Ovis aries: one gene and its partners. The protein of the gene in region 1 interacts with the protein of each later gene in a biochemical or structural test. Links are inferred from orthologs where the notes say so. Each region holds a gene or a part of one and is shown in the gene's direction. Other genes may lie near its edges. The genes, in order: MBP, PRKCZ and CDK9.

Evidence for each region.
Region 2: of the proteins of MBP (region 1) and PRKCZ, one has a biochemical effect on the other in vitro, tested with the Homo sapiens proteins (2 studies listed by BioGRID). The link is inferred for Ovis aries from reciprocal best matches to the Homo sapiens genes MBP and PRKCZ.
Region 3: of the proteins of MBP (region 1) and CDK9, one has a biochemical effect on the other in vitro, tested with the Homo sapiens proteins (2 studies listed by BioGRID). The link is inferred for Ovis aries from reciprocal best matches to the Homo sapiens genes MBP and CDK9.

What each region holds. Positions count from the first base shown.
Region 1 is NC_056076.1:2,514,426-2,524,835, forward strand, and holds the end of MBP (myelin basic protein), read left to right. Parts: intron 1-3,577; coding exon 3,578-3,697; intron 3,698-8,202; coding exon 8,203-8,247; 3' UTR 8,248-9,532; downstream 9,533-10,410. UniProt on the Homo sapiens protein: The classic group of MBP isoforms (isoform 4-isoform 14) are with PLP the most abundant protein components of the myelin membrane in the CNS. They have a role in both its formation and stabilization.
Region 2 is NC_056065.1:49,909,075-49,919,403, reverse strand, and holds the end of PRKCZ (protein kinase C zeta type), read left to right. Parts: intron 1-1,240; coding exon 1,241-1,327; intron 1,328-2,662; coding exon 2,663-2,798; intron 2,799-2,975; coding exon 2,976-3,063; intron 3,064-4,119; coding exon 4,120-4,239; intron 4,240-5,279; coding exon 5,280-5,359; intron 5,360-5,706; coding exon 5,707-5,796; intron 5,797-8,227; coding exon 8,228-8,343; intron 8,344-8,550; coding exon 8,551-8,638; 3' UTR 8,639-8,931; downstream 8,932-10,329. UniProt on the Homo sapiens protein: Calcium- and diacylglycerol-independent serine/threonine-protein kinase that functions in phosphatidylinositol 3-kinase (PI3K) pathway and mitogen-activated protein (MAP) kinase cascade, and is involved in NF-kappa-B activation, mitogenic signaling, cell proliferation, cell polarity, inflammatory response and maintenance of long-term potentiation (LTP).
Region 3 is NC_056056.1:8,426,573-8,437,082, reverse strand, and holds CDK9 (cyclin-dependent kinase 9), read left to right. Parts: upstream 1-3,477; 5' UTR 3,478-3,620; coding exon 3,621-3,712; intron 3,713-4,192; coding exon 4,193-4,274; intron 4,275-5,071; coding exon 5,072-5,162; intron 5,163-5,515; coding exon 5,516-5,682; intron 5,683-5,796; coding exon 5,797-5,968; intron 5,969-6,131; coding exon 6,132-6,280; intron 6,281-7,024; coding exon 7,025-7,390; 3' UTR 7,391-7,963; downstream 7,964-10,510. UniProt on the Homo sapiens protein: Protein kinase involved in the regulation of transcription.

The sequences.
Region 1 (10,410 bases):
GGCCCACGCACCGAGGGGCTCCTAGGAGACTCTGCTGGACTCTCCCCAGGAAAGGAGGACCCCCGTCTTTGAGAAAGTTCCTGACTTCCTTCCAAAACGGTGGATGAGAAAGTCCAGTCCCTGCAGGCTGCCTGCGCACCTGTCCAAGTAGCTAACCCCACCCTGCCGGGTGTTGACATTCTGTTGAGAAACAATGATTCTGCTGACAAGACAAAAGGCTGCTGAGTTCAGTTGCTCAGTTTATAACAACCTAAGTGATCCAAAAGATTTTGGTTTGGGTTGTGATTTAGTCATAACTAAAGCTTAGATACCAAGCCATCCAGAAAAACCTTTTTAGGAATTTCTGAGAACAAAATGTCCATGAAAATTTTAAAGGGCTCACTTGTTCAGCTTCTAGTAAAATTTGGTGTCTACACCAACTTCTAATGCTGATCTGTATTTTAACCAAATTACCTTCTAGTAAAGGCTTCCCTGGTGGCTCAGTGGTAAAGAACCTGCCTCCCAGTGCAGGTTCTTTACCACTCAGGTTGGATCCCTGGGTCTCAGGAAGATCCCCTGGGGGAGGGCGTGGCAACCCCCTCCAGTATTCTTGCTTGGAGAACCCCATGGACAGAGGAGCCTGGTGGGCTCCCATCCAAGGGGTCTCAGAGAGTTGGACACAACTAAGGAACCAAACAGCAGTATTTACCAGTAAATATTAGATACAGTTTTTACTTGATCAGATTTCCAGAATAAAAAGAGGCCCACTAACCTCTAGGCTGGGAACTGTGTCTGTCTTGGAGACAGAAACACATTCTCCAGTGTCCTTGGAGACACAAGATGTCTCTCCCACAGAGCCTGCATCTCAGTGATGCACGGTTAGTAGGCAACACAGAAATGAATGCATGAATTTAGAGAGAAAGAAAGAAGAAAGGGAAGAGGGAAGAAGAAGGAAGGAAGGAAGGAAGGGGAAGGGGGGAGGAGGGAGGGGAAGGGGGGAGGAGGGACTGCAGTACTGGAGAAGTACCGCACAATTCGGTAAAGCAATTACCCGTCAACAGAAAGTAAATACATTTTTAAAAAGAAGGAAGGAGGGAGGGAGGCGTCCGCCCTCAGAGAAAAGGCAGAGGAAGCTTCCGGGAACCGTTCCAACACATGATGACTGCAGTGTGAACTGAGAGGTTGCTGGGACATTCATACAGATACACGTGAGCCTATTTCCGATCTGATGAATTTGCAAAGAGTGCCGATGACGTAGAGAACTGACTCGGGCCAGCAGCCACAGACAATTAATGAGAGACTTCTTGTGCCAGCAGGAGAAAAAGGTGACACTGAGGAATGAAATCCATTTCTGACCCAGAAATCTTCCTTCAGTAACTACTCGACCTGCCTCGTAGCTTTCTAGGCGTGGTGGACCAGGGCAGAGCCGCTGATGACCGGGAGTGATGGGGGAGGAGACCTTCTTTCTTCCCTGTCGGTTAAGGCCCCTCCAACCCGGCAGCTAATAGAATGGCTTTGCATGCCTCTCCATGTCTCCATTTTTGTTCCCACTAACCCGTTAATTTTCTCTTTTTTCCAAAGCAAAATTCTGCTCTGTGTTCCGTGAGTCGGTCTGTTGGTTTCCGAGAACCGCATGACTGTCTTCGTTTGGAGATCCTGAAAATTTCACGAGTTTTCTAACTATGTTGTATGTTTTTCTGGCAAATTCTAGGTTGTCCAAAGATACAAGTGACCAAAAATTTGAAAGGAGAAAATTAAGCAGATTATCAATCTGAAAACCAATCCTTGAATTTTATTCTCAGAAGCACTTTATTCTGGAGAAAATCAACAGAGTTAGAGCATGACAGGCTCGCGTGGGACAGTGCGGCTTTTTCCCATGCTGGTCTATCCTTCGGCACAGCTCTCTTTAACTGTCCTTGGCCCTGAGACCCTGACCAAGGGGGTGTGTCCCTGGAAACTGTGGGTGCGAGGGCAGCAGTGGGCGCCCCTCGTGTGTAGTGCCCAAGATTCGCACACTCGACACCCCTTGAGACCAGATTTTCACGTGAAAGTGGTTGCCTCATTCTGAGTGGCCAGCATTTTCCCAGCATCTGTTTCTGGCTGAAAGCAAAGGAACCCACAGAAGTAGCGCTGGGGCGGGGCGGGGGGAGGGTGGGGGCCTAGACAGGTGGCCCTGGCCCAGCTTCAGTCCAAACACGAGAGAGCTGGCCTGCAAGATCCTTGAAGCTCCTGGAGCCCACCTCCAGCACTTCTGAACCAGAGGGATGGACTCTATGCTTCCCGAGCTCCCTCCAGCCCCACAGCAGCCTCCTGAAACTGAAAAGGACCACAGGCTGAGGCCAAGGGCTGCTTCCCAAGCTCCCTCCAGCCCCACAACACCCTCCTGAAACTGAAAACAACCACAGGCTGAGGGCCAAGGGCTCTAGAGCTCGATCAGAGATGGTTTTACTTCATTTGTAGAATTCTCAGGAGAGGCCCAGGCAGAGATAGTCCCGCTTCTTGTTGGCAAAATGTAAAGTGAGATCCCAGAGCCTGTCTGTTGCATGAGATCTGAGTGAGGGACGTGCACCCCAAGGCGCTAACATCTGAGCCCCAGAGTCCCCCTTCCTTCCCGCGCTCACAGTGCAGGGTCCCTTTGAAACTAGAGCTTATACGAGTGCAAACTGGCCCCAGAGACACACGCCTTTACATTGCAGTAACTGTGTGTCGTTGCTACCTGCAGGAGGCTAGCTTTCTCCATCTTCCCCGAAGTGAGAGGGGTCCCCCCCAGAGAAGCTGGAGGCGGAGGTGCGGGCTGCCTGAGGAGCCCCCTCTGCAAGCTTGAGAGTTCAGAGCCACAGGCTCCAGTCTCAGAGCAGGTCGTCCATCATCTCATCTCCCTGTTACAGAAGAGGAAACTGAAGCTCAGAGAGCTTCCGACAGTTGCCCGAAGTCACACAGCCAGGGAGTGGGGTTGCTGAGACCCACCCCGGTTGCCAGCCCTGGGACGGTGCCCAGGTGCACAGCTGGGGAACATGGCTTCCCATCCCACCCCTCTCCCTCTGTGGTCACCAGCCCGCAGCCCTGAGCCCCTGGAAGAATCCTGGTCCATCCACACTCAGGGCACCCACGGCGCAGCCAGGGGAGCTGGTTCTGGCCTGCAAGAGGCCTCTCCTAGCTGGAGAGCTGGGCATTGTGTCTTTGCCCTTTAAAAATGGATGAGCCCCCAATTCCCCAAGTGTGAAGGCTGCTGAGCCCCGGGGGAGCTGGCATGAAGGGTCTGTGCCAAGGGCCAGAACAACCCTGGGGCCGGGCGTTGTCTCTTGGGGTCCTGTCAGGGGCGTGGCCTCGCCCACCCTTCTCCAGCACAGTCCCAGCGCCCCTCCCCCCAGTGCGTGCAGATGAAGACTCTGGAGAGTGTATGTGACTCTGGCTGATCCACCCTGGGACCCGCTCGGCCAGGAGAAGGGCAGACGCTGCCGCAGGGACGGTCCCACCCCCCGCCGGAGGCACCGGGTGCCCAGTGTGTCGCCGAGCGGCCGCTGAGGCCGGATGGATGTGGACCGGGGCAGGGCCACGGGCCGTGGGCACAGACCGCGAGCCTCACCCTCTCTTGCAGGGGGCTGAGGGCCAGAAGCCAGGATTCGGCTATGGAGGCAGAGCATCTGACTACAAATCGGCTCACAAGGGACTCAAGGGGCATGACGCCCAGGGCACGCTTTCCAGAATCTTCAAGCTGGTAATGTACCTTCTCCACATGGGAGGCGCTGGGAGGGGTCCGGGGATGAGTCTGGGACGGCCTGGGGATGCCAGTCTCCAGCCCCTCCACCTGCCGCTTCTCAGGAGTTGCTCCTGCGCATCCCAGCCCTGCCAGGTGGCCGTTTCTGCAGAGCTCACCTGAGCAGGTGCTCTACCAGGTGCTAGGCCAGGGTTCCTCGGGAGCTTGAGGACAAGAGGGGTCGTGCTGGACCCCGAGAGGCTCAGGGGCCTGGAGGGCACCAACCCATCTGGAAGGTCAGGTGGCTCCCTGGCCGGGGCAGCAGCACTTTGGGCCCTGAGGGTGACGGGAGGGAAGATGGCTGGATGGCAACAGACCCTGGGAGCCTCAGGCATCTGTCCTGCTGATTCACACTGGAGCTACACGTCAGGTCCCCCGGCCTCCCTGAGGCTTCGTCTCTCCTCTGTGAGTCGGGGGGATGTGTGGGGAGCTGCTCTGACAGGAGGGCTACCGTGCTGTCTGCCCAGCTCCCTGCCCAGACCCCCTCAAAACAGCCGGATCACAGTGACACGTCAGCCCTGCTCAGAAACCTGAGATCTCAGGAGGGGCTGATGGGGACAAGGCACAGAGTCCCCAGGCCTGAGCAGACGGAGGACGGAAGGGAAGGCTCTGGACTCGGGAGGGGCAGACCCCAGGCAGTAACCCCTCACCCCAGGCCCCTCAGACTCCTTCCTCCCACAGCTACAAGCAGGCAGAGCTGTCCTGAGGTGAGAGGGATGGTGTCCCAGGTCCAGCGGCCAAGCTCACCTGGGAGGAGATGGAACACCCTGGAGACAGAGGCCCTGGAGCCAGGACGCCCAAGGGCTGGTCCAGGCTCTAGTCTCCTCAGACAGAGTAGACACGGCTGCCCCAGTGGGCAGGGCCCAAATGCCCAGACAGTCCTCGAGAAGGTGGAAAGGAGCAGCAGGCTTAGAGCTGGAGGGGCTCGGGAGCTGAGATGAGCCTGTGGAGCCACAGCAAGCCTCTCGAGCAGTTGAGGCCATTTCCACAAAGATTCGAGGCTCCTGGGGGGCCTTTCATCCCTGATAATGGAACCACATTTGCACGGCGGCCTGGCAGGAAGGAACAAACGTCACCAAATCCCAATCCCACTGGTTTTCTCATTAGAGCATCAGCCCAGCCACTAGTTTCACTGACTCTTGACCCAAATGAGGCCATGACTTCCCTGCTGATGTCCAGCTACAACTGCAGTCCTGACTCTTACAAGGGTCCGGTCAACTCCCCTTCCAGCTGGAAGACGTGTCATGAGGAAGACAGACACCAGCAAGGAAAGACACAGTCCGTGTGCTAAAGGAGGAGCGGCCGCGTGAGGACGTGGCACTCACAGTGCCCTCAGGGCCGCAGGACCGCCCTGCACCCTCGGGCATCGCGGTGCCGGCGTCGCTGCCGTGCTCTCACCCCACGCGGCAGCTTCTTCCACCCGTGCCCCGGGCCAGTGGCCCCCCGGGGGAGACCTGTGTTTCCATGGACTCCTGTCCCAGGTGTCCGTGGTCTTGGATGAGACCAGGAGTGCCTCCCGAGGCTCACCCGCTGGCTTACTGCAGGTCACAGCGTGATTTCACCTGAGAAGGTCCTGTGGTCTGTGGCGAGGCTATGCCACCAGGAGACCAACAGCCCCACGCGCCCCGTCCACGGGCTCAGGCCCCACCAGCAAAGCGTGATGGCTCCTCAACCCCACTCACCTCTGACCTGCAGAAGAGTGCTTCCTGCTGAGCTCGTTGAAACGTCGCGATTTTACAACTTACGGTGAAATGGTTTGGTCGGGAACACAAAGACTCGTAGGTTGGTCACCTAACTAATTCTGCATCAAGTCCCGTGTGTGTGTGGCACGTCCAGCGGTCGGGGTACACAGACGGCCGCGACAGACACAGCGACCTAGGCCCTGAAAGGTGCTGGACTCTGAAGGTGACGAGAAGCAGGACTCAGCTTTGAGGAGACTCAGTCTCTTCAGCAAGACATTTAAATACATGAAGTGAGCGGTGAGTGACCCACTGCTAAGTTGGCTGGTGTCAGACTCAATGTGGGCAGGACTCAGTCTTCAAAATATTGATCCTGAGGCAAATCTGATAAGGAGATAAATACTATCCCAAATGTCCAAGAAACAGAGAGCCTTACGATATACGTGTCTTGATTCTGAAATGAGACGGCGATGACGCATGTCCTGGCGGGGCTCTGGGTCTAAACCCAGAGCTGCGGTGTTTCCATCAGGTCACCTGCAGTGTCCAGACCATTTCTGATTCCCCAAGACTTCTGGACCAGAGCGACCAAGGGCAAAACCCAGATGTCTGCAGTTGGGACGATGTCCATCCTCATCAGAGTTTCTAACACCAGCTCACCTCTGCTGGCTGACTTTGGGGAAGTGACTCAACCTCTCTGAGGAGCTTCAGCTCCTTCAACTAGCAAACAGGGATGCTAAGAACATCCACCCACCTAGGCTGGCTTGCTTGTTCACAAGATGAAACAGATGTCAGAGGTTTAGATCACAGTAGATAATAAATTGTAGGCACAGTAATCGAAAAGAAAAGCCATAAATATGCCATCTCTTATTCAAAAGTTGCCCTTAGGGTGTTCAGTGGTGTCTCAGGTAAGGTGTTTGGCAAATAGAGTAGGAGGGGGACTAAGCCCGTCTCAGCGTGCATGTGCTTGATCAGATGGGGCAGCGGTCTGCTCTTGTGGACGACTGACTCGCACTTTCCAGGAGGCCCTAAGGTTAATCTCTCTGAAATTCAGGACAAGGGGGGGCCAGTGCTGCCTTGCTCAGGGCTACTCCAGGAGCAGCTCTGAGGACCAAGCACCCAAAGCCCAGCCAGACTCACCTGGGACAAGACCCAGGTCCCTGCTGAAGGGCTTGGCCCCGAGGCTGGGGAACAAAGCCCCTTTCCTGCAAGGGGAGTTATCTCTGAATGATGCCTGACATCTCCCGAGGCTAGAATTCCACAGACTTCCCCACACGTGAAAATAAAATGCGTCCAGTGAATCAGCAATGGAGGAATGTTTTGGGGGAAAGCAAAATTGCAAGAAATCAGAGCCATCATCTTTCTTTTGACCGAGTTAGCTATAAGACCTGGGGCCTTGTGTTTCCATTGCCTAATCTCGGGGTCACGTGGGGGACACAAGACGTGGACGAGGCCCGTCTGTCATCAGATCAATAGCGTATTTCATGTTCATCTTTCTTTCCGGGGGCTCACAGTCTCAAGGGGATCTTTGAGAGATCAAGTTTTCATTCATAACCTACGAGAAAAGGGAAATCCAAAAAGAGACTAAAATTTGAATAAGAATTCAAATGCAAAAAAAAAAAAAGCACCTTCCTCCAAGTTCACCTAAGTGGCACCTAGGGTGACAGTTGCCTTCTCGAGCCAATGCCCGGACAAGCTCCCTTGTCTCCGTCATTCCCACTCGCTCTCTCCACTTCCACCATTGCCAGCTCTTCTGCAAACCGTATTTGTCCAGAAAACATGGCAACTCTTGTTTTTTTAAGACCCTGAGGTCAGAGTCTGTGGATGGCTCATCTGGGAGGCTGGTTTCCTTGGTGATGCAGGAGAGGGCTCGAAGGTGGGGTGGAGGTCGCTCCCCGGTGAACCGAGTAGGGCTGTGCTCTCAGCATCCCAGCCTCACGCAGATGAGCCCATCCCAGGCATCGTTCATGGACCACTTCCTGCAGTCCCTGGGAATCTCTAGTTTAAATGTCAGGGGAGTGTGTAATTTCCTCGGTTCTGTCTCCTCACAACAAAGATTTGCAGCAACGGACATTAAAGCCTTCAGCGCATCATAGCTCTCAGAGAGTGTTACAGTGCCGTATTACAGCTCAGTTTTATTTAGAAAGTAAAGGAAAATACATCCTCGCGAAGAGGAGAGAGAGAGAGCGCGCGCACGCTGGAGAGAGACCGCTGGCCCTGTGGCTCCTCTTTTTCTATGTCTTTCCCTCCGCCCGGGCCTGCCCTGTGTAAACTGGGCCAGCCAGGAGTGCTGTTTGTTTCGCCTGAGGTCCTCACTCCAGTCCTCAGACCTTCCTTTGTTCCATTTTTACGGGCTTTTCCCTTCCTTGTCTTTCAGCCACCGCCATCTGGACTCCTTTTAGATGGGAGGCCAAATTCTTTGGGAATAGGGGCGTCGGGGTCTTTCTGGCTACTTCCTGCTGAGCTGGGATGGTGAGGGGCATTGGGCCTCCCGTCTCTTGAGGGGGGAATGTTAGGAGAAAACAAGCCCTCCTCTGAGACATTCAATGTGTCAGTGGAGTTTTCACCCCCAGAAGCGCATGGTTCTCAGACGCAGCGCCCACGCGCCCTGTCCTGTTTGCCCAGTGGTACTTGCATGTGCAATGGGATAGAGGATGCTGTGAGACACGGGGTTAGAGGCCAGCCCCACGCAGCTTCATCCCTAGAGACAAGCCCCGAGGGGCGAGGCCCTGCCCCTGGTGACCACAGGGCCCTGGCTCTCCCAACTAACTCTCTGTTTCTTTTTCTCAGGGAGGACGAGACAGCCGTTCCGGGTCCCCGATGGCAAGACGCTGAAGCCCAGCTCCCCTCCCGAACCCCGTCCCCAGCTTCTTAATACAACCGCCTCGACACTAACCATTGTCTAAATTCCCTAGTGCAGCCGGCGCCCCCCCAACCCTGCCCATACGCACGTCCTGCGGGCTCCTGGCCAGTGGCTCAATGGAGAAGACGGTGCAGCTGTCAGCTCACCCTTGGAGATCAGCGAGGTCCCCGAGGGTCCAGGGTGGGCGACCCTCCACGCCCACCCTCTGCCCTGGGACGGCCGTGGGAGCAGCCCTGGGGACCCTGGCGCCGGGCCCCCACGCAGGATGTGGAGACCGACCTTGGCTCTGAGCTTCCTTTGGTTTCTTTCCCGCCTCCTCTCACCTCTTAAAGCACTTCCTTTCCTAACTGATCACAGTGGAGCGGCTTCGCGGCGGGAGCTTTGGTACGTGGCAGGCGGGCGGGCAGCTGGGAGTGTCCCGTGTGGTGGCCACGGCTCACACCCCGGAGGAGCCGGATTGGCGCGTGCGGAGAAGGGACGGGGGGGGCGAACTCGGCCGGGCCTCGGGGGTCCCGCAGCGGCGCCCCCACAACCTGCTTCCTACGGAGCCCGGCCGGAGGGCGGAGGCGGCGCAGCTCAGAGCGGTGGCAGGACGTTCCGGGAGCCTCGCGGTGGCCGCGGCCACCGCGGGCGCGAAGGTGACAGGTGGCATGCTCGGCACGGCGGTGCGCACAGCGAACACTAACCCTTGGGGAGAGATAACCAGCCCACCCGCTTCCTCCCAGAAACCCGCTGACCAGCACACTGGCTTTTCCCGAATCGCTGCCGGGCTGGGTGCAGGCCCCAGTGAGGATGGGGAGGGGTCCTCTATCCCACTCTTTTCTAACCCCAGCTGATATCTCCCGTGCTTCCCCCATAACCTACTGATTCCCACCTTTTGATTTCAGCCTCTCTCCCACCAGACCCCCACGAAGTCCCCACACTGGCGTCACAACCCCCCTTAGGATGAAAATGAGGAATAGTCAATGTAACGCCCAAACGTGGCTCTTTAATCCCCTTCTAATTCTGAATATTTCGCGTGGGTTTACTATAATGTCTATTAATACGTAGCCTCAATGATGAGAGGATAAGAAAAAAAAATTTTTCAGAAACAAAATCTCCAAATTGCTTGACACACACACTGCGTCTCTGAGCTGGTTGTGACTGAGTGACCTCCATTCGTGGCCACACCCAACAATGAGAGCTGTGACCACAGGTCTCAAGGAAAGTATGCATTGTTCTTGAGTATTGAAATAAAGTAATACACTTTTAATGATATCTGCATGGCTTGTTTTCTGTGACTTATTCTGGTCTGCAGAACGTGAGTGTGTGTGCTAAGTCACTTCAGTCGTGCCCGACTCTTTGCGACCCTATGGACCCACCAGGCTCCTCTGTCCACGGGATTCTCCAGGAAAGAATGCTGGAGTGGGTTGTCATTTCCTTTTTCAGGGGATCTTCCTGACCCAGGGATTGAACCTGTGTCTCTTAGGCCTCCTGCATTGGCAGGCAGGTTTTTCCTGTAGCCACTGGGAAGCCCAAGAGGTCTGCATCACCACAAAGCTGCAGGAAAGTTCGTTTCCAGGTGGAGCTGTGAGTGGGGGGTGTGCTAGACCCCCAGCCACACACACCTCCATCTCTGCGTGCTCACCTGCGGACCGTCCCACTGAGTCCAGAGGTGCCAGGAGGGTCTATCTGATGAAGAAAGCCTCTTCCCACCAGAACAGAACAGCACGGTGATCACGCTTTCTCAGATACCCCGTCGATCCGCCCAGCCGCCTCTGCACCACGTGGTCCAGACCGAGAACCGTCTGTGGGTTCCTGTCTGCTCCCCTGCCCCGCCACCCGGGCAGAGGATGGTCAAGGGGCCCCAGCACCAAGCCCTGGGACAGCAGGCCAGGTCAGAGGTCAGGAGCGGGTCAGAGGTTAGCGGCGAGGATGTCGGCTCCATCTAGCGGGCTGGCTTTATAAACCAGGTGTGGGCTGTGAGCTGGGTTTGGGGTTTGTGAGGAGAGAAAATGGGCCTGAGAAAAACACTGAAATGGGCAGGAGCGGGGGGAGGGGAAGCCTCTGAAAATGAGAACGCCAAGCCTTCCAGGAGCCCTTGGTGCTGTGTTAAGTTGGGGCTGTCGTAATACGGCAGCAGGACTGAAGGCCTG
Region 2 (10,329 bases), on another chromosome or scaffold:
GAAAGCCACCCCCCTCCATACCCAGAGGAACTGTTGACCTAAAAATCCATAAGCTGGCCTCAGCAGGGCATTTCAGGGAAATCATGTGTGAATTTAGTTTTGAAAATAGAACCTTATTAAATGTGAGGAGGATCCTATCAAGGAAAGAAACCACAAGGTAAATTGTTTGGGGACCTGAAGAACCCTGCCTGCCTCCAGAGGATGGGCCTGTCAATCACAGGCCTCTCCCACCAGCACCCCCACCCTTCTAGAGGCCTGTCAATCACAGGCCCCTCCAGCCAGCAACCCCACCCTCCTCTGGGAGGCCGGTAGCTTTGCAGATTCCCAGTGGCCAAGTCAGCATGTTCTGCCCTCTTCCTCTGGACCTGCAGGCAGCTTGGGGTGGGTCCCACAGGAGGGGTGCACGGGACCCTCCCGTGGTTCCACCGAGCCTTTCCCCTCCCGACTGCCTACACCACTGGCCATTTTGTGGGCTCTGCCTCAGGCCCTCCAGGCCAGCCACACCAGGAGGCTGAGCACCTCCTCTCCTTCAGCCTGCCCATCTCCCTGCCCCAGGTCCACCCAGACAGTGGCCAGAGGGTCACTGGCATCCCCCAGCTGGTGCACCCGGCCTTCTGGCTTCTCCAGCTGAGTTGGGCCCCTGTACTTGCAGGGTGGTCCCTCAGCTCTGCCTTCCTCCACCTCTCCGTATGCACCATCCAGGCCTCTGCTCCCTGGGGAGGCCTCCCACAGCAACCAGCCACATAGCACCCTCCCAGCCCCAGTGAGCCCCCGGCCAACGGGCCCTGCCTTATTTTTACATTTTTACCCCAAAGGCAGGCCAGGCATCATTGAAAGTGAAAAGTGAAAGTCACTCAGTCGTGTCTGACTCTTTGCAGCCCCATGGACTGTAGCTTGCCAAGGCTCTTCTGTCCATGGAATTCTGCAGGTCAGAATACTAGAGTGGGTAACAGTTCCCTTCTCCAGGGGATCTTCCCAACCCAGGGATCGAACCCAGGTCTCCCGCATTGCAGGTGGATTCTTTACCATGAGTCACCAGGGAAGCCCTCTAAAGGCATCATTGGGAGAGTAAATAACTGTTGAATGATTTGAGTGGTGGACGAGAGTTTCTCTCTCAAGTTTTATTTCATCAGGATCAGAGCTGAGGGGCTCCTGCCACTGACCCCAGAGTTGGATGGCCTGGTTGCTGCCTGCCTGGGCCTCTCAGGACAAGGGTGACCCCAGCCTGTGTGTCCTGCAGGTTGTTCCTGGTCATCGAGTATGTCAACGGGGGCGACCTCATGTTCCACATGCAGAGGCAGAGGAAGCTGCCAGAGGAGCACGCCAGGTGGGTGCAGCTGGGGCAGGGGAGGGCAGGCCACAGCCTGGAGGGTCCTGGGAGTGACCCGGCCTTGGTCCTGACCCTCGGCGCACAGTGTACACAGTGATGCCATCTGGCCTCCGCAGAATGATCTCTGTTACTAAATGATTCTCAGGGACAGTGACCACGTTGCCCCCGCCCCACTACACCCACCCCCCACAGCCTCGACCTCACAGGTGGGTGGGGCGTTTATTTCCACCCCATACACATCTCTTTCCTGTTTTCCCATACTTTTTTCCCTTTTCCTCATTTCCTCACTTAAAAATAATTCCATGTGGCACTGTGAGTCACCATAGGTCCTTTTTGGGGAGAGGCAAGTAATAAATCAAGAACCCCACACGCTCATGTTCTCCTTTTTTAATTGTGAAAAATTTGCATAACATAAAATTTCCACCTCAACCATTTTTAAGTGCACGGTCAGCGGCATCGAGCACATTCACGGTGCTATGCAGCCATGCCGACCACCATCTCCAGGACCTTGGTCTCCAGTACTTTCATCACCAGGACTTTTTCCTCTTCCTGTACCGAAACTCTGTCCCCGTAAAACACTCGTTCCACATCCCCTCCCACAATCCACACACCCCTACTTTGTCTCTGTGACTCTGACGCCTCCAGGGACCTCAGAGAAGTGGAAGCCCATAGGATGCATCCTCCTGCATCTGGTTTGTTTCACTCTGTGTCATGGCCTAAGGTCCATCCACGTTGGAGCAGGTGTCAGTGTCGGCACCTCCTCCCTTTTCAAGGCTGGATCCTATTCTATCACAGGAATGGACCGCATTTTATCCTTATCTTTCGATGAACACTTGGGTTGCTTCCATGATTTAGCTGCTGTGAACAAGGGGGTACAAATACCCATTTGAGCCCCTGTTTTCAATTATTTCGAGTTATTCACAGACGTGGAATTGCTGGGTCACATGATAATTCTATTTTTAATGTTTTGAGGACCTTCCAAGCTATTTTCCACAGCAGCTGCACCATTTTCATCCCAACCAGCAGTGCATGAGGGTTGCAGTTTCTCCACATCCTTGACAGCACTTGTCATTTTCTGTTCGAGGGGATGGGGGGCCCGTTGTATAGTGGCTGTCTTGGTAGGTGTGAGGTGGTATCTCATGGTAGGTTTGGGTTGTGTCTCCCTGACCATGGGGATGCTGCCTGTCTTTCCCGGTCCTGTGGGCCCACCTGTCTTGCCCAGTCTTATTGGCCCATGAGTTCATCAGTGGAGAATTCCAACGTCTTGTGTCCTCCTATCCAGGTTCCTGGTTGGGTTCTCTCTGCTGATGACAGGTGTTGCCCCTTCCCCAGGTTCTATGCTGCTGAGATTTGTATCGCACTCAACTTCCTACACGAGAGAGGGATTATCTACCGGGACCTGAAGCTGGACAATGTCCTCCTTGACGCCGACGGCCACATCAAGCTGACGGACTACGGCATGTGCAAGGTGAGCATCCCGCCCACTGCTCCCGCCCGCCCGCCTCCCAGGGTCGTGGCCAGCCTGGCACCCACTCCGTCTCACCCATGCCTGGTCTCTGGCACCTCCACGTGACCACAGTCCTCCCACTAGTGGGGGCGTATCTGGGCATGCCCTCCCTCCTGGTAATTGGCTTTGTCCTCACAGGAAGGCCTGGGCCCTGGTGATACAACAAGCACTTTCTGTGGAACCCCGAACTACATTGCCCCCGAAATCCTGCGGGGAGAAGAGTATGGTAAGCATGGGTGGGACAGGCACTCGGCTCTGAGTCTGGAGTGGGCCATGACACCCAGACACCCCGAGCCCTGGGCCCCTCCTTTGCCCAGGGACTTGGATCTGAGGCGGGAGTGGACGAGGACACCCTGAGCCCTGGGAGCTGCCTCTGCCGGAGACTCTGATGGAGCAGAGAGGGAAGGAGGCAGTCCTAGTGGGGCTAACCCTGCCAGGGTCCTCACCAGGGTCTCTGGGGAGCTGACCCAGCTGCCAAGAAGAGGGTTTCCTGACTAAATTGCACTAAAACACACACCCTTACTTTGTCCAGCCCCAGGTCATCACCTGGCCTCAGTCCCAGCTATTGTCCCATGTGTTCACCTGAGTGTGCCCTGGGGAGGTCACTGGACAGGATCCCTCTGGTCAAGGAGCCTGAAAGGCTTGGGAAGGAGAACACAATGCAAAGACAGGCCCCAAGCAGAGGTCCCACGCCACTGGTGCCGCCCATAAGTGTGGGTTCCCCAAACCCACCAGAACCACCCACAGCCCCTGTGACACTGGAGTGCGTCCACACACTTTCTGGATGTGAAATGAAAATGAGATGCACACCCTCTGCGTTTTGGGGTTCTGCTGTTTTCCCATCACAAATACTCTTTCAAATATTTCCACATATTTTCTTTGCCATTGAAATTGGGGGGTAGCAGGGCGAGCAGGTTCTCTCCCCCTCCGATCCCTGGGCACCCGGGAGGCCAGTACGATTGAAGTCACTTAGTAACCAAACGAGGATGGACAGCAGCCGTAGTCCAAAGCAGAGTCTATAGCCTTCCCAGGATGGGGGTCCTGTGTGTGACAGAGCTGCACACCTTTGGACATCGGGGGTGGCTGGCTGTCCCTGGGCTTCCTTGACATGAAGACAGCTTTGCAACTGCCAGGACAATGGACAGAGTGGAGGCCAGGCCACCTGGGAGATGCTGGGGACACCCAGCCTCAGCTGTGGTCCAGGTCCAGGTCACAGCTGTTGCCCTGTGACTGGATAGCACAAATGGAGAGTTCTGGCCTGACCAGCCTGGCTATCCCTCAGGGTTCAGCGTGGACTGGTGGGCGCTGGGCGTGCTGATGTTCGAGATGATGGCAGGCCGCTCCCCCTTTGACATCATCACTGACAACCCTGACATGAACACTGAAGACTACCTTTTCCAAGGTGCGTGGGCCATATGTCCCGTTCCCTCCATGCCCTGCGGGTTTTCCCCTTTTAGAAGTGGGGGTGAAAGAGTCTCCTGATTGGTTGCCGTGGCTGCCACAGACTAGGTGGGGCCACTTGTCCACTACTGGCTCTCAGGGAGCAAAGTATAGTGGGCAGGGGGATACTGCTCTTTCACATCCACAGGAAAGAATCTGTCCTGATTTGGCCCAGGCCCCCTTCTCCCCACCTCCAGTATGCACCTGAGTCCCGACGGGGGCTGTGCTCAGCCTCAGCTTCTTGCCATCTGGGCCCCTGGAACAGAACTGACTGCCCCCAGGATGCTGGCCCAGGCTGTCCCCACAGTGCTCTCTTGCGCCTGTGGACATGGGGAGGCTGTCCCACGGTGCCCTCCTGCGCCTGTGGACGTGGGGAGGCTGTCCCACGGTGCCCTCCTGCGCCTGTGGACGTGGGGAGGCTGTCCCACGGTGCCCTCCTGCGCCTGTGGACGTGGGGAGGCTGTCCCACGGTGCCCTCCTGCGCCTGTGGACGTGGGGAGGCTGTCCCACGGTGCCCTCCTGCGCCTGTGGACGTGGGGAGGCTGTCCCACGGTGCCCTCCTGCGCCTGTGGACGTGGGGAGGCTGTCCCACGGTGCCCTCCTGCGCCTGTGGACGTGGGGAGGCTGTCCCACAGTGACCTCCTGTGCCTGTGGACGTGGGGAGGCTGTCCCATGGTGCCCTCTTGTGCCTGTGGATGTGGGGAAGGTGTCCCACAGTGTTGTCTTGCGCCTGTGGACATGGGGACACAGGACCAGCTGAGCTGCCATTGGTTCATCCCTGATCATAGCATGCCTGATCGTGGGCACCAGGGCCTCTGAGGCCTGGAGACCTTGCTGGGGTGCAGGAAGAGGCCCAGGCCACCGTGACTGCCATGACCCTCCTGCCCAGAAAAGGTTTCCAGTGCCCTGCAGGCTGCTGGGAAGAGCTGACAGGCTAGGGTCGAAGAGGGGGAGCTGGAGGAGGGCCAGGAGAAGGAACAACTCTCTCCTCCGGTCCTGCAGTCATCCTGGAGAAGCCCATCCGGATCCCCCGGTTCCTGTCCGTCAAGGCCTCCCACGTGTTGAAAGGATTTTTAAACAAGGTACGCTTGTGGCCCCCGTGGCACCCCAGTGGCCATGGCCGCAGCCCTTCCTCAGCTACTGAGGTTGAGGCTTTACCACCTGGTCTGCTAGTTTAGTGCTGGACGTGGGTGTGACTCTGCTTCCTTCCTTAGTCCTGTGGCTGCTTATTCACCTTGACAAAAGCTAATGAGGAGAAATTATGCCGAAGAGGCATTTCCTGAAGGAGCTTAACCCGCTGGGAGGAAGCAGTTTCACCTGGGTGGGGGGCCGGCCATGGGTGGTTTGTTGGTGCTGTTTAAGACCCGCTACTGAGTAGGGCTGCCCTGCTCTGTGCTGACTTGTCCTCATTTGAACTCTGACACACCAGGACCCCAAGGAGAGGCTTGGCTGCCGGCCGCAGACTGGATTTTCCGATATCAAGTCTCATGCCTTCTTCCGCAGTATAGACTGGGACCTGGTAAAGTGATTGGAACCGGATACCCACCTCCGCGGGTTGGGGAGGGACCTCCAGGGGGCAGGATGGGTGGAAATGGGGATGCATTGGGAAACACTGATTGAAAACAAGGAGGCGGGCTGTGATGAGGCCCTGGGGGCAGTGCTTCCTGAAGGTCCTGAGAGCAGCCTTGCTGGGGCGTCCAATTCATGCTGTGCTGGGTGTCCTGTGGGGATGTGTTTGTGTGGATGAGCACAGCCATACACCCATTGATTGAGCTCCATGTCCACGCCCTGAGTCAGCTCACAGATACTTCACTTAACCATCTAGCTAGTCCCAACTAGACACCCAGGTGTGCTGTGGTCCTTCCCCCCACAGTGGCCCTTGACCCACCCAGTCCTGGGGACTCAACCTTCTGGGTCTGGGCCTTCTCCCACCCCAATGCTGCTACCTGGGTCTGAGCTGCCCACATCCTGGACAGTCCCCCGTTTCCTGCGTGGGCCCTGCCAGCAGCCGCCTCCTCCACTGGGCCTTTAGGAGTCCCTCGCTGCCAGGCCCACTCCTGCCTCAGGGCAATGACACAGCTCTGCCCCTCCCAACCTCCACCCACCACCTCCTTCAGACTACCTCAGCACGCTCACTCCCAGCCCCTTTGGGCCTCCTCTTTCCCGTCACACCTCAGGGCTAAGTGGCGGGACTCTGGGACGTCGCTCTAGGGCAGCACCGTTCCAGTTCACTGCTTGTCACTGAGAGCAGAGGAGGTGACACTGTGTGTGACATTCCCGGGGAGTGGGTGGGGGTAGGGGCAGGTGCTGAGCAGCCATGAGGCTCTTAGGTTAGGGATGGGGGGTGGCCTTGGAAGACCCCGGGCCAGCACCTGGCTGCATTTTCCTCATGGTCTGTTCTGACTTGCTATTTAAATCTTTTTAAAGCAGCCTGAGACCTAAAGTAGGGAAAATAGTACAAGAGAAATGTTTCTTTTTCCCCTTTTTATCTGAATATATTTCATGCTAACAAGAATATGGAAACTTGCCTGACAGAAGGCTGAGGGAGAAGGGAAGGCCTTATGTCCCCAGAAGAGTGTCCAGGGTGTGGCCATGCCCACCAGCTCCCGGGGCCCTGGGATCGCAGCGTGCACATGGGCATGTGGGCACCTGCACACATGCACATACACACACTGGTAGCCCCCTTCTGCCAGTGGGATCAGCCCATCCCCTCTGTTCCGCACCCCCCTCCTGCATCCCCTGGGTGACAGAGATAAGCGTGCCTCTCCAGGTGGCCTGGGTGTGCTGGCTGCAGCCTTGACACTACCGGGCGTGACTGGGGGATTCATCTCTGTGACACTCTCACTTCTTGCACCAACTTCGTTAGCAGAACCTGTGTGTTCAGCTTCCCAAATCCCCCAAAGTTATGGGACCTGTTTCAACTTTCCGGGCCCAGTTTGCTTTTGTTGCCATAAGTGGTGTTCCTAAGGGCCCTGACCCCACAGTGCAAAGACAGGGTATGAGCTGAGGTGGACTGGAGGCTTATTTCTGACTTGGCTGGAGCTGTCTCCCTACACGGGACCTTGGACCATGTCTCCAACCCGGTCACATGGAGGCCTCACCCAGGTGGGAGTTTCCAGGCTGGCTCACTCAGGACCCTCCAAGGGAAGGCAGCAGCCAGTCCTGAAAGGCCGAGGTCATCCACCCCCTGAATCAAGCTGTCCCGGCTGTGAGAGCACAGTGGTTCAACTAGAGGGCTGGCTATCCTCTGGCTCCAGATTCCCTTGTGACGGGGACGGTCCCTCCAGGCAGGCACCCCCATGCCTCAGTGTGGCTCTCTCTGAGGTCTGAGGAGCAGGCCTGGCCCAGCACCCGTGTGCAGCAGACACCTGGTGGAGGGAGGGGAGAGGAGGTAAAGAGTGTGTGAACCTGGGGGCCCATGCCCCCCCCTCAGTGATTGGAGCCACTCTTGAGTTGCTCCACCTCCTCCATGTGACTCCACCCTCTCCAGACACCACCATGTCTCAACCCCCAAGATGACAAGTGCATCCCTTTGGGATTAGGAATACTAATCAGGAATACTAGTCTAGGAATACTAGAAATGGCCACTTAAGGCGTCTCGGGAGGAGGGGTCCCAGTGGAACACAGGTATCCCTACCAAGCCCCAGCTCTCTTACCACTGGGGTTCCAAGATTAAAGCTCCCTAAGCCAGCCTCCATTGGTTTAAGGAGCAGGGTTGCAGGCCCTCGATGGCGTGGGGTATGTCTCTCATGGCCTGTGCTGCCAGCACTTTTCAGCTCAAGTAGAGTTTTTCTGACTTCGGCGGAAATTTCTCCTACACTTTAGAGAGCAACAATTGGCCATCAAACGAGGCGTATATACTTAAGCACCATTTCTTCTGTTTGATTCTGTGGTTTGAGTTTGCAAAGCGCTGAGTCGGCGCAAGTGGCTCTGACTGTATCTTCCTGCAGCTGGGGAAGAAGCAGGCCCTCCCGCCCTTCCAGCCGCAGATCACGGACGACTATGGCCTGGACAACTTTGATACGCAGTTCACCAGCGAGCCGGTGCAGCTGACTCCTGACGATGAGTAAGGCCTGCACTACGGTGGGGTGGGGTTGAGCTGCAGGGTCAGTCAAGCTGCAGGGGCGGGGAGGAAGAGTCCCAGGTGGAGGCAGGGCGTCCTGAACTGCTGGGAGGAGGAATCCCATGCAGGGGTGGGGCGTCCTTAGCTGCGGTGCGAGACAGGGCCGGGTCTTGAACACGCCCACCGAGCCTGCTCTGTCCCGGGCCACAGGGACGTAATCAAGAGGATCGACCAGTCGGAGTTTGAAGGGTTCGAGTACATCAACCCACTGCTGCTGTCCACTGAGGAGTCCGTGTGAGGCGCCGCGCTCTCATCGTGGACGCGTGGACGGCCCTGGCCCTGACCCCTGCGCATGCATGCGGGGCCGGGCGTGGGCGGGTGCCCAGGGCAGAACGGCCTCCAGGTGTGGCCCATGGGCCTCAGGCCCAGAGGAACTTACTTCTCGCGCCTGCGCCGCGGGGGCCGTGGTGACCGTGTCTGAGGGAGAAACTGCCCCCAACTTCGAAGGTGCACACTTTCCACAGAAGCAGAACTGACCTGCTCCACCGGGAGTTGGCCTGTAATGTCCCGAGGAATAAAGTGTCCCTCTGATGCTGGCGCTTCCCTCTGATGCCTTTTTTCCGCGGGGGGCACCCGCCCAGAGTCGCAGGCGCGGCCCACGCGGAGGAGGCACGGCCGGAGTGTAAGTGCCTGTGCAGTGGAGAGTTTATACAAATTCGGAACATTTTCTAAATCCTGGTAAGTTCCTGTTGTTAATATTTAACAAGTATTTTCATACCGAGCATGTCAGCAGTTCCTGTGGTCTGATGCCCAGGTCACACCTTCACCAGATGGGCTCTATCGGTCCCAACCCGGGCCTTAGACTGACCAGGAAAATTGGGTCATAGAGGTTCTAAAACAAGGCTCACCAAAGTACCCGCAAACCAAAAAAAAAAAAAAAAAAACCCACAAAGTTGAAAAAGAAATCTGCACAAAATATATTTCTGGAAACACTAAGCAGTGCCTACATTATGTCTTGTGTTATGTATCAGATTTTTGGAGAGTATTTTTATCAGGAATAATAATGCTCAGAATTAGACATTTTAAAAGGGTATGTGTATGATGGGCCCTAGCCTTAAAGTAAAGGAATAAAATTTAGAACATTCAGAAGGGTGCACCTCCCGGTGGGGCTCACCTCCTCCTTCCCATGAGCCCGGGCCACCCTCCTTCTTAGGTAAAAAGCTGAACCCAAGGTTTTTTATAAAGAGGTAAATCATGTGGGTTTTTTAAGTCCCTGATACTGTCAAGTGTGGCTCAGGCCAGGCAGAGTGGGGAGGAAGGCCTTGTGCACCCTCAGGACAGTGGTCCCTGGATGTCCTTTGTGGGTGTGGGTCCCACATTGCCATGCACTCTTGGGCCTCACTTCTCCCAGTGTGGCAGTGGCTTGGGGCAGATAACAGTTGAAAATAAAGAGGCTGCTGGCTTGGCCTGACCCTGCACAGACACACCAGCCTCCCTGGGTACCCCCAGACTCCCTGGGCACCCCAGCCAGGCCCCAATGGCAGAGCAGCACCTCTAGAACGTGGAGACTTGCACCTCCCCACCCCCCCCCAAAAATGGAAGTGAGGGACCCTGGGCCAGACTCAGGGCTGCCTGGGCCTGGTGGGTGTGGTAACATCATCAGGAGGGCTATGCAGTCACCTGGGGAGACCCCAGTGTGCCCACAACGGGGTCAAGTGCCGCCTCAGGGACAGTGACACCTCTGCTCAGACAGTACAGGGGCTGCAGATTTGTTCACACGGCATTGATGTCAACGCTGCGGTGGTACGATACAGCCTCCCAGTCGCCAGTGTGGTTGCTGGTGTACAGACCTGTGTGTAACCTGGGTTCCCGGCCAGGGTGATTTTGTGCATGGTCCCATGCTTTTATAAATTTAGAAGGCGAAGGATGTGCCCAGGTGGGTCCAGCGGCTCCAGTCACAACACGGCGTGTCCTCTGATATGGTTCTTG
Region 3 (10,510 bases), on another chromosome or scaffold:
GCTAAATGGCAGCAGGACCAGAGGCTCTCTCAGAGCCTGGTCAGTCAGTCAGCAAATATTTCCGGAGTACTGGCCACAGGCCTGGTCTTGCCAGCCTAACCGATCCATGGAAACAGGAAACGTTTCCCTCCAGCCAGTGAAGAAGTCAGAGTTGGTGAGAAGTTGTTTCTGGCTAGGATCTAATTTCTTCTCACTTTCACTGGGCAGCCTTCTGAAGGGCTCTGACTGTTCCTGCCTGCCATCATCCCGCAGGGAGGGCTGAGGGCCCGACGCCCTGAGGGGAAGTGACTGGCAATGTCAGGGTTCAGGCCAGGGATCGGGGAGGGTGGAGGTGATGACACCACCGGAACTTCTGCTGAGGCCTCTGCCCACAGGATGTAACTTAGAGAGGGCTTGTGAGAAACAAGCAGGGGCCCCAGCCTGAGAATCTGATGGTGGAAGCCACCCAAACCCACACAGACCTCCCCCCTCCCACCCAATGCGATTATCTCCTCCCACACCTCCCACTGGCATCCGCCACCCAGCTGGCGATGCTGTGCCATGACTGTGCCCTTGCTCCACCCTCAGCCCAGGTGGGCAGAGTCCTGACATGGGTAACCGCTTGGGGTTGGCACCAGACTTTGGCTGCTGTTGGCTTTACATATCAGTGTGGCAACTGGCCAGGTATTTGACCCTGGCCAATGATGTCACCGTCCATGGGATTCTCCAGGCAAGAATACTGAAGAATACTGGGTTTGCCATTTCCTTCTCCAGGAGATAAGCTGGTTAGATAGTATCACGGACTCAGTGGACATGAATTTGAGCAAACTCCAGGAGATACTGGAGGACAGAGGAGCCTGGTGGGCTTCAGTCCATGGGGTCACAAAGAGTCAGACATGACTTAGCAACTGAACAACAACAATAAGTGACGTCACCTCTGAGTTCCAGTGTTCTTCTAAGTACAACAGAGGTAATAATAGTATAATATTGCTGAGTGAGAATTGAGATAATTCCCATAAAGTGCTAAGTGTACAGCTTGGACCATTTATTTTCACTCCATAAACTATAATTACTACAGTTATTATTATTTTCTCACTCTCTGCTCTCCCCACCCCCAATTTAGCCAATGGTCACCCTGCTTCTAATATTGTACCCAAGAAACTGACCCCAGATCACTCCCTGACCTGCCCCAAACCCTCGCTGGTCCACACTGCCTTCAGGAGAGGGCTCTCTGCTCCTCACCTGATCCTGAAGACCTTCCCGGGCAGTCCCCCTGCTTCCCAGCAGAACAGGGTCTCTTGGGACACCAGGATTACCAGACCCATTCCTGACTCCTAATGTGAGCTAAGAGCTGGAGAGCAACCCAGGAACCTTCCTGGCAGAAGAGAAGGCAGTGGTGCAACCAGAGAGCATAGCCCTGAAGGCAAGGGGCCCTGGCGTGTAGGAAGCAGTGTGGCCACAGCCTAGGTTCGGTTCAGTTCAGTTCAGCTCAATCGTCAGTCAGGTCCAACTCTGCGACCCCATGAATCGCAGCACGCCAGGCCTCCCTGTCCATCACCATCTCCCGGAGTTCATTCAGACTCACGTCCATCGAGTCGGTGATGCCATCCAGCCATCTCATCCTCTGTCATCCCCTTCTCCTCCTGCCCCCAATCCCTCCCAGCATCAGTCTTTTCCAATGAGTCAACTCTTCCATGAGGTGGCCAAAGTACTGGAGTTTCAGCTTTAGCATCATTCCTTCCAAAGAAATCCCAGGGCTGATCTCCTTCGAGCCTCAAATGTCACAGTTTGGTTTTTCCTGATGACAGTGGAGAGAAAGACATACAGACATCACTTCAGAATGATCTGATGGGTGCTGGCAGGGGGACAGATGGAGGGGACAGACTGGGGAGGACAGGTCTTAAGATCCATTGGTGGAGGACTGGGGTGGGGGGTGCAAATTGAAGAGGGGTGGAGAGGAGGTCTGAAGGCAGCCTTGTTGAGGGCTGGGTGTCAAAGGCTGGAAGGAGATACAGGAGGCTCCTGGAGCCAGAATGTATCAGAAAGCTGCTGGGGAAGAAGCGCCAGGGTAGGAGAAGCAGGCATAGGATCAAAGGAGATGGTGGACGGTGGTGGGCTTGGTACCCTGGCATAACAACAGCAGGCCTCAAACAGCACCACTTGCTATACTGCTGGACAGACTGTAAATAGCCGGAGTCAAGAGAATCCTCTTCGGATTCAGACAGACAAGGTTCAAGTCCCAGCTTTATTACTGTGAGACCTTGAGCAAATGACCTCACCTCTCCGAGCCTCAATGTGCTCTTCTGTAAAATTGGTTAGTGATCCTGACTATGGGCGGTGGATTCAGGATTCAGTAGGAATGCCCAGCACTTCCAGAGCACACAAGAGGGGCCGACGAAATGCCGGCTACCTTTGTGACTACTAACCCGGGGCGCGACCAGTTAGGGAGCAGCTCGGCAGGAACCAAAGTCCTGTGGGTCTCATCTCTTGTCTCCCAGAGAACTGGGTGGGGATCCAGGAGTGGAAGGCCCAGGCGTTGCTGGCTCACCACCTTCAATGTCGCCGCGCCCCCTGGCGGCTATCGGTTGCCATATCAACGGCGGGTCGGCGGGGGCCCGGGGAGGCGGCGGTCGGGGCCCGTTCTCCCTTCCCCGGACCCGAGGCCGCTCTCTCGGCACCTCTAGTCCTCGCCTGCGTAGAGTGGGGTGTGAGAGCGGGTGGGGAAATCCCGAGCCGGGGAGGAAGGGACTCCCCGCTGCGGCTGGCATGTGCGGGTAAACTGAGGCACGCGGTAAGTCGCGCCCCGAAGCCAGGTGTTGAGCGCGGGGCCCCACCTCCGAAGGCGGAGGAGGGGCCGCGGGCGGTGACGCGCCGAGGGCGGCGGGCGGGCGGGAGGCAGGCGGCGGCGGCGGCAGGTGCGGCCGCTGAGGGTGGAAGGGAGGAGGGAGGGGGCGGGCGGAGGGGGAGGGGAGGGCGAGGCCTGGGCACCTCCCCCTTTATAACGCGCCCCCTCCCGGGCTCTCGGGCCGCCTCCTCATCGGCTGTTTCCGTCTGGCCCCCTCGCCCGGCCGCCCCGGGCCCGGGCCCGGCCAGGGAGCCCCCAGGCCGCGGCTCGGGGGGCCGCCCCCCCACCCCCCCTGCGCCCGGCGCCCAGCGCAGCCCGGCGGAGGCGGCGCCGTCGGAGGAGGAGGAGGAGCAGGGCACTGCGGCTGGCCCCGGATCGGGCGCCAGAGCGGCAGCGGCTTCGGCAGCGGCGGCGGCGGCGGCCCGAGCCGATGCAGCGGGACGCACCACCTCGAGCCCCAGCCCCGGCGCCCCGGCTCCCCGCGCCCCCGATCGGGGCCACCGCCGGCGCCGGCGGCGGCGGAGGCGGGGGCAGCGGCGGTGGCGGAGGCGCCTCTGCAGCTTCGGCTCCTCCTGGCCTCCCGGGAACTACAAGTCCCAGGGGGCCTGGCGGCGGGCGGCGGGCGGAAGAGGCGGGGTCGGCGCCTCGAGGCCGGAAGTGGCCGTGGAGGCGGAAGTGGCGCGGCCGCGGAGGGGCCTGGAGCACGGCGGCGGGACCCGGAGCGGGAGCGGCGGCGGCAGCAGCGGCGGCGGCGGTGGTGGCTGGAGGCGGCGGCGGCGGCGCACTGGAGTCAGCCATGGCAAAGCAGTACGACTCGGTGGAGTGCCCTTTTTGTGATGAGGTGACCAAATATGAGAAGCTCGCTAAAATCGGCCAAGGCACCTTCGGGTAAGGCTGGGCCCCCCCTCAACCCCCAGGGACCGGGAGCCTCCTGAACCTGCACCCCTCCGGGCCGACGTCGGGACGCCCAGACCCGGGCCCGGTTGGTCGGGAAGCCACTTAGACGCAAACTTATCCCCTGGTCTCGCTAGGCCGCACCGCAACCCCGCCGGGGCCTGAAGGAGTCGGCCGGCTGGGAGGAGCCTGAGGCCCTTAATGGGGGGGCAGGGAGGGGTTGCAGAGAGGAGCCTGTGAGTGGTGCGGGATCTCTCTGCGAGACGCCCGAGTGAGGCGCAAGGAGCAGAGGGAAGAAGGCTGAGACTCGAGAAGGGACCAGAGTCACCGCGTGGTGGGGTAGCCGAGTGCCGTGAGGGACCCGGCCCAGCCCCGCCCGGGATTCCCTTTCCGGGCCTCCTCTGGTGGGGGAGGGGCGGGCTCTGCGGAAACGTCCTCTAAGAGCCCTCTTGGGTCTCCCCTCTCCGCCTGCAGGGAGGTGTTTAAGGCAAAGCACCGCAAGACCGGCCAAAAGGTGGCCCTGAAGAAGGTACTGATGGAGAACGAGAAAGAGGGGGTGAGTATGGGGTGGGGTGGGCAGGTCTCCCAGCTCCTTTGGGCGTGAGGTTGCGTTTCCACCTTTCTGGTTTGGGGACTCTCAACGTAATAGATTCAGATTAGGTGTTTGGAAATTTCCATATTCCAGGAAGTTTGACTTCCCAGTTCAGTCTTTGAATTCAGATGTCTTAGAGCTTTTGATACTTCATTCTTGGGTGAATATGGTTGGTGCCAGGCGGGGGAGCCCATGCTTGTACCCAGTGCCCCTAGGTTTTTGAAGTTAGGAAGTCGTTAAAGACTTTTTCTTTAGGGTTTAATTTTGTTGAACGCAAAAAAGATATATATATGATAATGATAATTACATGCAATGGCTTTGAAAAGGTGATTGGTATTCAGCTGAAAAGCAACAGTCTCTCCTGCCACACACGTGTGTTAGTTCTGGTTCAGCTTTCCAGAGACCAGCTTCTTTAATTATATATTTGTTAACTGCCAAGCAGGTTAAATGCAGGCATAGGGCTAAAATTTATAAGGGTGAAGAAACTGCGGAGCGTCTGATGACTGGTAACAGAACCTTTGTGTGAAGTGTCACTGTTTCGGATCATTCATTGAATTATTTTGATTCATTCATTCAGTTCTTTATGAGGCGTACATAGTTACTCCCGTTTTACATATGTGACATCTGAGACAGCTAATTCCAGAGCCTGTGCATTTACTGTCTCCCAGCCTATGACCCTTCGCGTGGACCCCATGGTCAGTTCCTGGGTCTGTAGTGTGCTCACCCACTTTTGACTTCCTCCTGTCTTTTCTCCCACCCAGTTCCCCATTACAGCATTGCGGGAGATCAAGATCCTCCAGCTTCTAAAACACGAGAATGTGGTCAACTTGATTGAGATCTGTCGAACCAAAGGTAAGTTGTTTGGATCATGTTCCCATTTTCAGATGGAAAAACTGAGGCTTTGTTTGCGGAGTTGACACTGGACACATTTACACTGCCTCTTCTTAACCCAGACATTCCAACTGTGACTGCTTTCTCTGGTCTTTTCATCGGAGCAGGTGCTTCCCCAGGGCCTGCCACAGCACCCAGCCCAGAGAAGGCACTCAGAAAATGTTTTACCTGTGAAGGAATTTGTACCCGGATATTCGGGGTGGCCATGGGTTGGAGGGGTTGGGAGCTAGTTTGGAGGAAATGAGTTACATGTAAGGTTTCTGATTTTTTTTTTAATGCCTCCCCCTCTCTCCTCCTCATTCTTCCTGCCTCAGCTTCCCCCTATAACCGCTGCAAAGGCAGTATATACCTGGTGTTTGACTTCTGCGAGCATGATCTTGCTGGGCTACTGAGCAACGTCTTAGTCAAGTTCACACTATCTGAGATCAAGAGGGTCATGCAGATGTTGCTTAACGGCCTCTACTACATCCACAGGAACAAGGTGGGGGCCCTAGTTGGGGAGGAGAGAGCAGGGCTTGGGCTGGCCTTTGCGCTCACAGCGGGGTGGGCATGGCTAAGGGATCCCTGGGAACCCTCCGCCTTGTGCTTCCTGCAGATCCTGCACCGGGACATGAAGGCGGCTAACGTGCTCATCACCCGCGATGGGGTTCTGAAGCTGGCGGACTTTGGGTTGGCCCGGGCCTTCAGCCTGGCCAAGAACAGCCAGCCCAACCGCTACACCAACCGTGTGGTGACCCTCTGGTACCGGCCCCCAGAGCTGTTGCTCGGTGAGGACTCTCCCGAGCTGGCAGAGGGGAGCAGGGGCTGGGCACTCAGCTCAGTCTCAGCACCCCAACTGCCAGGGCTTCTTGAGCCATCGGCCCCAGGGGCGTGGCCTTTCAGGAGGCCATGGGGCTCAGGGGGCCCTCCCTGGTGTGCTCTTGTTCCCAGGGGAGCGGGACTACGGCCCCCCCATTGATCTGTGGGGTGCTGGGTGCATCATGGCGGAGATGTGGACCCGCAGCCCCATCATGCAGGGCAACACGGAGCAGCACCAGCTCGCCCTCATCAGCCAGCTCTGCGGCTCCATCACCCCCGAGGTGCGTCGCAGCCTGCCTCCTGGGGGCCCCCCAAAGGCCACACACCTTCGAGAGGGGTGGGGGAGGCTCCCTGGCAGGGGAGGAGGGGCACACGGAACAGAGGCAAAACCCTGACCTGGACAGGCGGCTGGTGGAGGCTTACAGTCTGCTGTTAGCCATGGCGACGTCAGGTCTGGGCTGCGTCCCTGGTTCCTGGGGTTTTCCGGCAAGGTGTCTTGAGCACCTCACCTCAGGGCTGATCTCTGCCGTGAGACATCTGTGGTTCTGTCACACTTGGCACACATCTCCCAGGCGATTCACACCAAAGGGCCTGGTATTCAGTGCCTGTGTCCCATCTGTGGTTACTGCTGCTTTGGCCGCAGAGGGCTCTGGGGTGGTCTGGAAGCATCTGAGCAAGTTGTACGTGTTTACTTAGTTATTTTTGGCTGCTCTGGATCTTCACTGCTGAGCCTGGGCTTTCCCTAGTTGCAGTGCGGGGGGCTTACCTTGCTCCAGAGCACTGGCGTTAGACCCGGGCTTCAGTCGTTGTGGCACACGGGCTTAGTTGCTTCATGGCATGTGGAATCTTGCCAGACCAAGGATTGAACCCGTGTCCCCTGCATTGGTAGGCAGTTCTTAACCATCGGATCACCAGGGATGTCCTGAACGGAGACGTATCCAGTCACTACATACTTGACCAGTGGATCAGTCACATACCCTGCTGAACTAGTCTTCCCCTCTTTCCATGCCTCCCCCCTACCCCAGGTGTGGCCAAATGTGGACAAGTACGAGCTGTTTGAGAAAGTGGAGCTGGTCAAGGGCCAGAAGCGGAAGGTGAAGGACAGGCTGAAGGCCTACGTGCGAGACCCCTACGCGCTGGACCTCATCGACAAGCTGCTGGTGCTGGACCCCGCCCAGCGCATCGACAGTGACGACGCCCTCAACCACGACTTCTTCTGGTCCGACCCCATGCCCTCGGACCTCAAGGGCATGCTCTCCACCCACCTGACATCCATGTTCGAGTACCTGGCACCTCCACGCCGGAAGGGCAGCCAGATCACCCAGCAGTCAACCAACCAGAGCCGGAATCCTGCCACCACCAACCAGACGGAGTTTGAGCGCGTCTTCTGAGGGCTGGCTGCTATTGCTTCTCGTTAGGGCCGTGGTTTTGGTTTTTTTTCTTCTGCTCTGTGACTTGCAGCGTGGAGATTATGGGGCATGTGAGTTTTTCCTCTAGCGCATATCTTATTTAATCCGCACCCTGGGCGTCGGGCACCAACCGAGCAGACTGGAGTAAAACTTTGGTGGAGAGTCCAGGAAGGCACCTGAGCTGCCCACCTTGTTCCCTGGCTTTGGCAGTGACGCTCAGAGGGCCTCCCTTTACCTTAGGGCAGGACTGGGGTGGGGGGAGAGGCATGCCCCCCCGGTGACTCTGAGAGACCCCAGCATGCTGGGAGGAGGGGACTGGTCCCTCACCCACCCTGGCCCTCCCTGTGGGATGAGAAACTTCTGTGGGGCACAGAACCAGCCTCAGGAATGGGAACGGGCTGCTCTCAGCCTAGCCCTCAGAATCTCTGGGGCCGACGGAAGCTATTGGTTTCTTCGATAGGACAGTTTTATCGTGTTGATTTTGTTTGATTGTTCAGAGACATTCCTGGGTACAGGCTGGTCAGTTACAATTAAAGTTGACTCTTTTTCAGTAAACGGCTGTGTGCTTTGTTCTGTGTTCAGACCGCCAGCTCTTAACCCTGTAGCTGACCACTGAGGCTTGATTTGTCAGGACATGGTACTTCCCTTTGTCCCAGTTCATGTCCCCTGACATACCTTCAGGGGACTTCTGTCTCTTGTTTATTTCTCTTTTGACTACCCAAGCGGCAGGTACCACGATGCTCCCTTATTCTCCTCTCCACTCAGTGTCAGAGAAAGCAGGGAGACAGATGAGAAACGGGACTCAGTCTGCTGAGGAGGAAACTGGGGGGACCTTCTGTGAGCCGCACCTGCAGTGGTGACCCAGCGGGGCAGAGTCTGCCTTGGCTGACAGATGTGTTCAGACTTGACTTCCAACCACAGAAGGCTGGAGAGGCTTCTAGCCAGTGGAATAACAACAGATCTGTAACCTGCAAGAGTCCTCAGGCTGCTGGCCAGAGAGTGGCAAGAGGAAATGAGCAGGCAAGCTGAAGGGTCTCCAGGGCCTTGCGGAGGTGGCGGTAGCTTGAGTTGGGGTGGCAGGCGGGCAGGAGGACAGGGAACAGTTAGCAGAAGCTTGGACCATGTGGGCTCTGAGCTGGGACACTCAGGAACAGCACACTCTGGGGAATACCTCTCCTGTGAGTCTGAAATCTGACATGGGCACATGTGAAGCACTTTCTACATTCTGTCCAGTGGAGGCCTCTTAAAGGGGACCTGGGAAAAAAAGGTTGGCAAAACCTTTTACTTGAACTGTCCTTTCCTAGTAGGTATTAACCTGGGTCACAGCTTCACAAAAGGCAAGTGAAAGGAAGAAAAAAATCATGACTAGCCTATTTGATTCTTGGGGCTGCCAAACACAGCAGCTTAGAATAACCAACTTTCTCTGTTCTGAGGAGAAAAGTCTGAAATCTGGAGTTGTCATCAGCAAGGTTGGTTCTTTCTGGAGGCTTAGGGAGAATCTATTCTAGCCCCAAGCCTAGGAAGCCTTCAGAGAGCGCTGTACAAAGAGGAACACAATCTGGTGATTTTTAAAAAAATCCCAAGTTTGTTTTTATTTTTTGATGGTACCACATGGTAGTCAGGATCTTAGGTCCCTGACCAGGGATAGAACTCGTGCCCCACTGCAGTGGGAACACAGAGCCTTAACCGCTGGACCACCAGGGAATTCCCACAATCTGATTTAAAAAGAAAACAGTGGAAAACATTATGGGGCTTCCCTGGTGGCTCAATGGTAATGAATCTGCCTGCCAGTGCAGGAGACAGGTTCAATCCCTAATCCACATGCCGCGGAGCAACTCAGCCTCTGCGCCACAACTATGGTGCCTGTGCTCTCGAACATGGGAGCCACGGCCGCTAAGCCCATGTGCCCTAGAGCCTGCGCTCCGCAACAAGAGAAACCATTGCGGCGAGGAGCCCTTGCTCTGCAGCTAGAAGTTACGGTGCAGCTAGAGAGGAGCCCCCACTCAGCACAGCTAGAGAAAAGCCCAGTAGCGACGGAGACCCAGCACAGCCAAAAATAAAATTATTAAAAAAACACCCAACAGTATGGAATTTCATCAGAAAACTGAAAATAGAATGACCGTATAAACCAGCAATCATTCCTGGGCATATATCCAGATGAAATTAAAATTCAAAAAGACATGCACTCCTGTGTTCAATAGCCAGGACATGGAGCAACCTAATGTCCATCAACAGATACTGAATAAAGAAGATGTGGCGCACATGCACAGCGAAACGCCAGCCATAAGGAGACCCAGCCAGGCCATCCCAAAGGGAATCGGTCCTGAATGTTCACTGGAAGGACTGACGCTGAAGCTCCAGTGCTTTGGCCACCTGATGTTAAGAACTGACTCATTGGAAAAGACCCTGATGCTGGGGAAGATTGAAGGCAGAAGGAGAAGGGGACAACAGAGGATGAGATGGTTGGATGGCATCACCAACTCGACGGACATGAGTTTGAGCAAGCTCTGGGAGTTGGTGATAGGGAAGCCGGGCGTGCTACAGTCCGTGGGGTCGCAAAGAGCTACAACTGAGCAACTGAACGGATAAAGCAGAAAATAATGCCAGTTGCTGCAACAGGGATGCAACTAGAGAATATCATACTAAGAAAAGTCGGACAAATACCAGATGATACCACTTACATGTGGAACCTAAAAGATGACGCTAATGAACTCACCTATGGAATAGAAATGGAATCTGGGCCGTAGAGAATTGACTAGTGGTTGCCAAGATGGAGAGTGGTTGGAGAGTGTTGGATTGGGAGTTTGGGATTAACAGATGCAAACTAGTATATGAGGAATGGATAAACAAAAAGAGCCTACTGTATAGCACAGGGAACTATCTTCAATTTCCTCCGATAAACCATAACAGAAAAGAATATGAAAAAGAATGTATATACATATATAACTGAGTCACTTTCCTGTATAGCAGTAATTAATACAACACTGTAACTCAACTATGGGTTTCCCAGGTGGCACTAGTGGTAAAAAACCAGCCTGCCAATGCAGGAGACTCGGATTCAATCCCTGGATCAGGACGTAAGATACTTGGGTTAAATCCGTG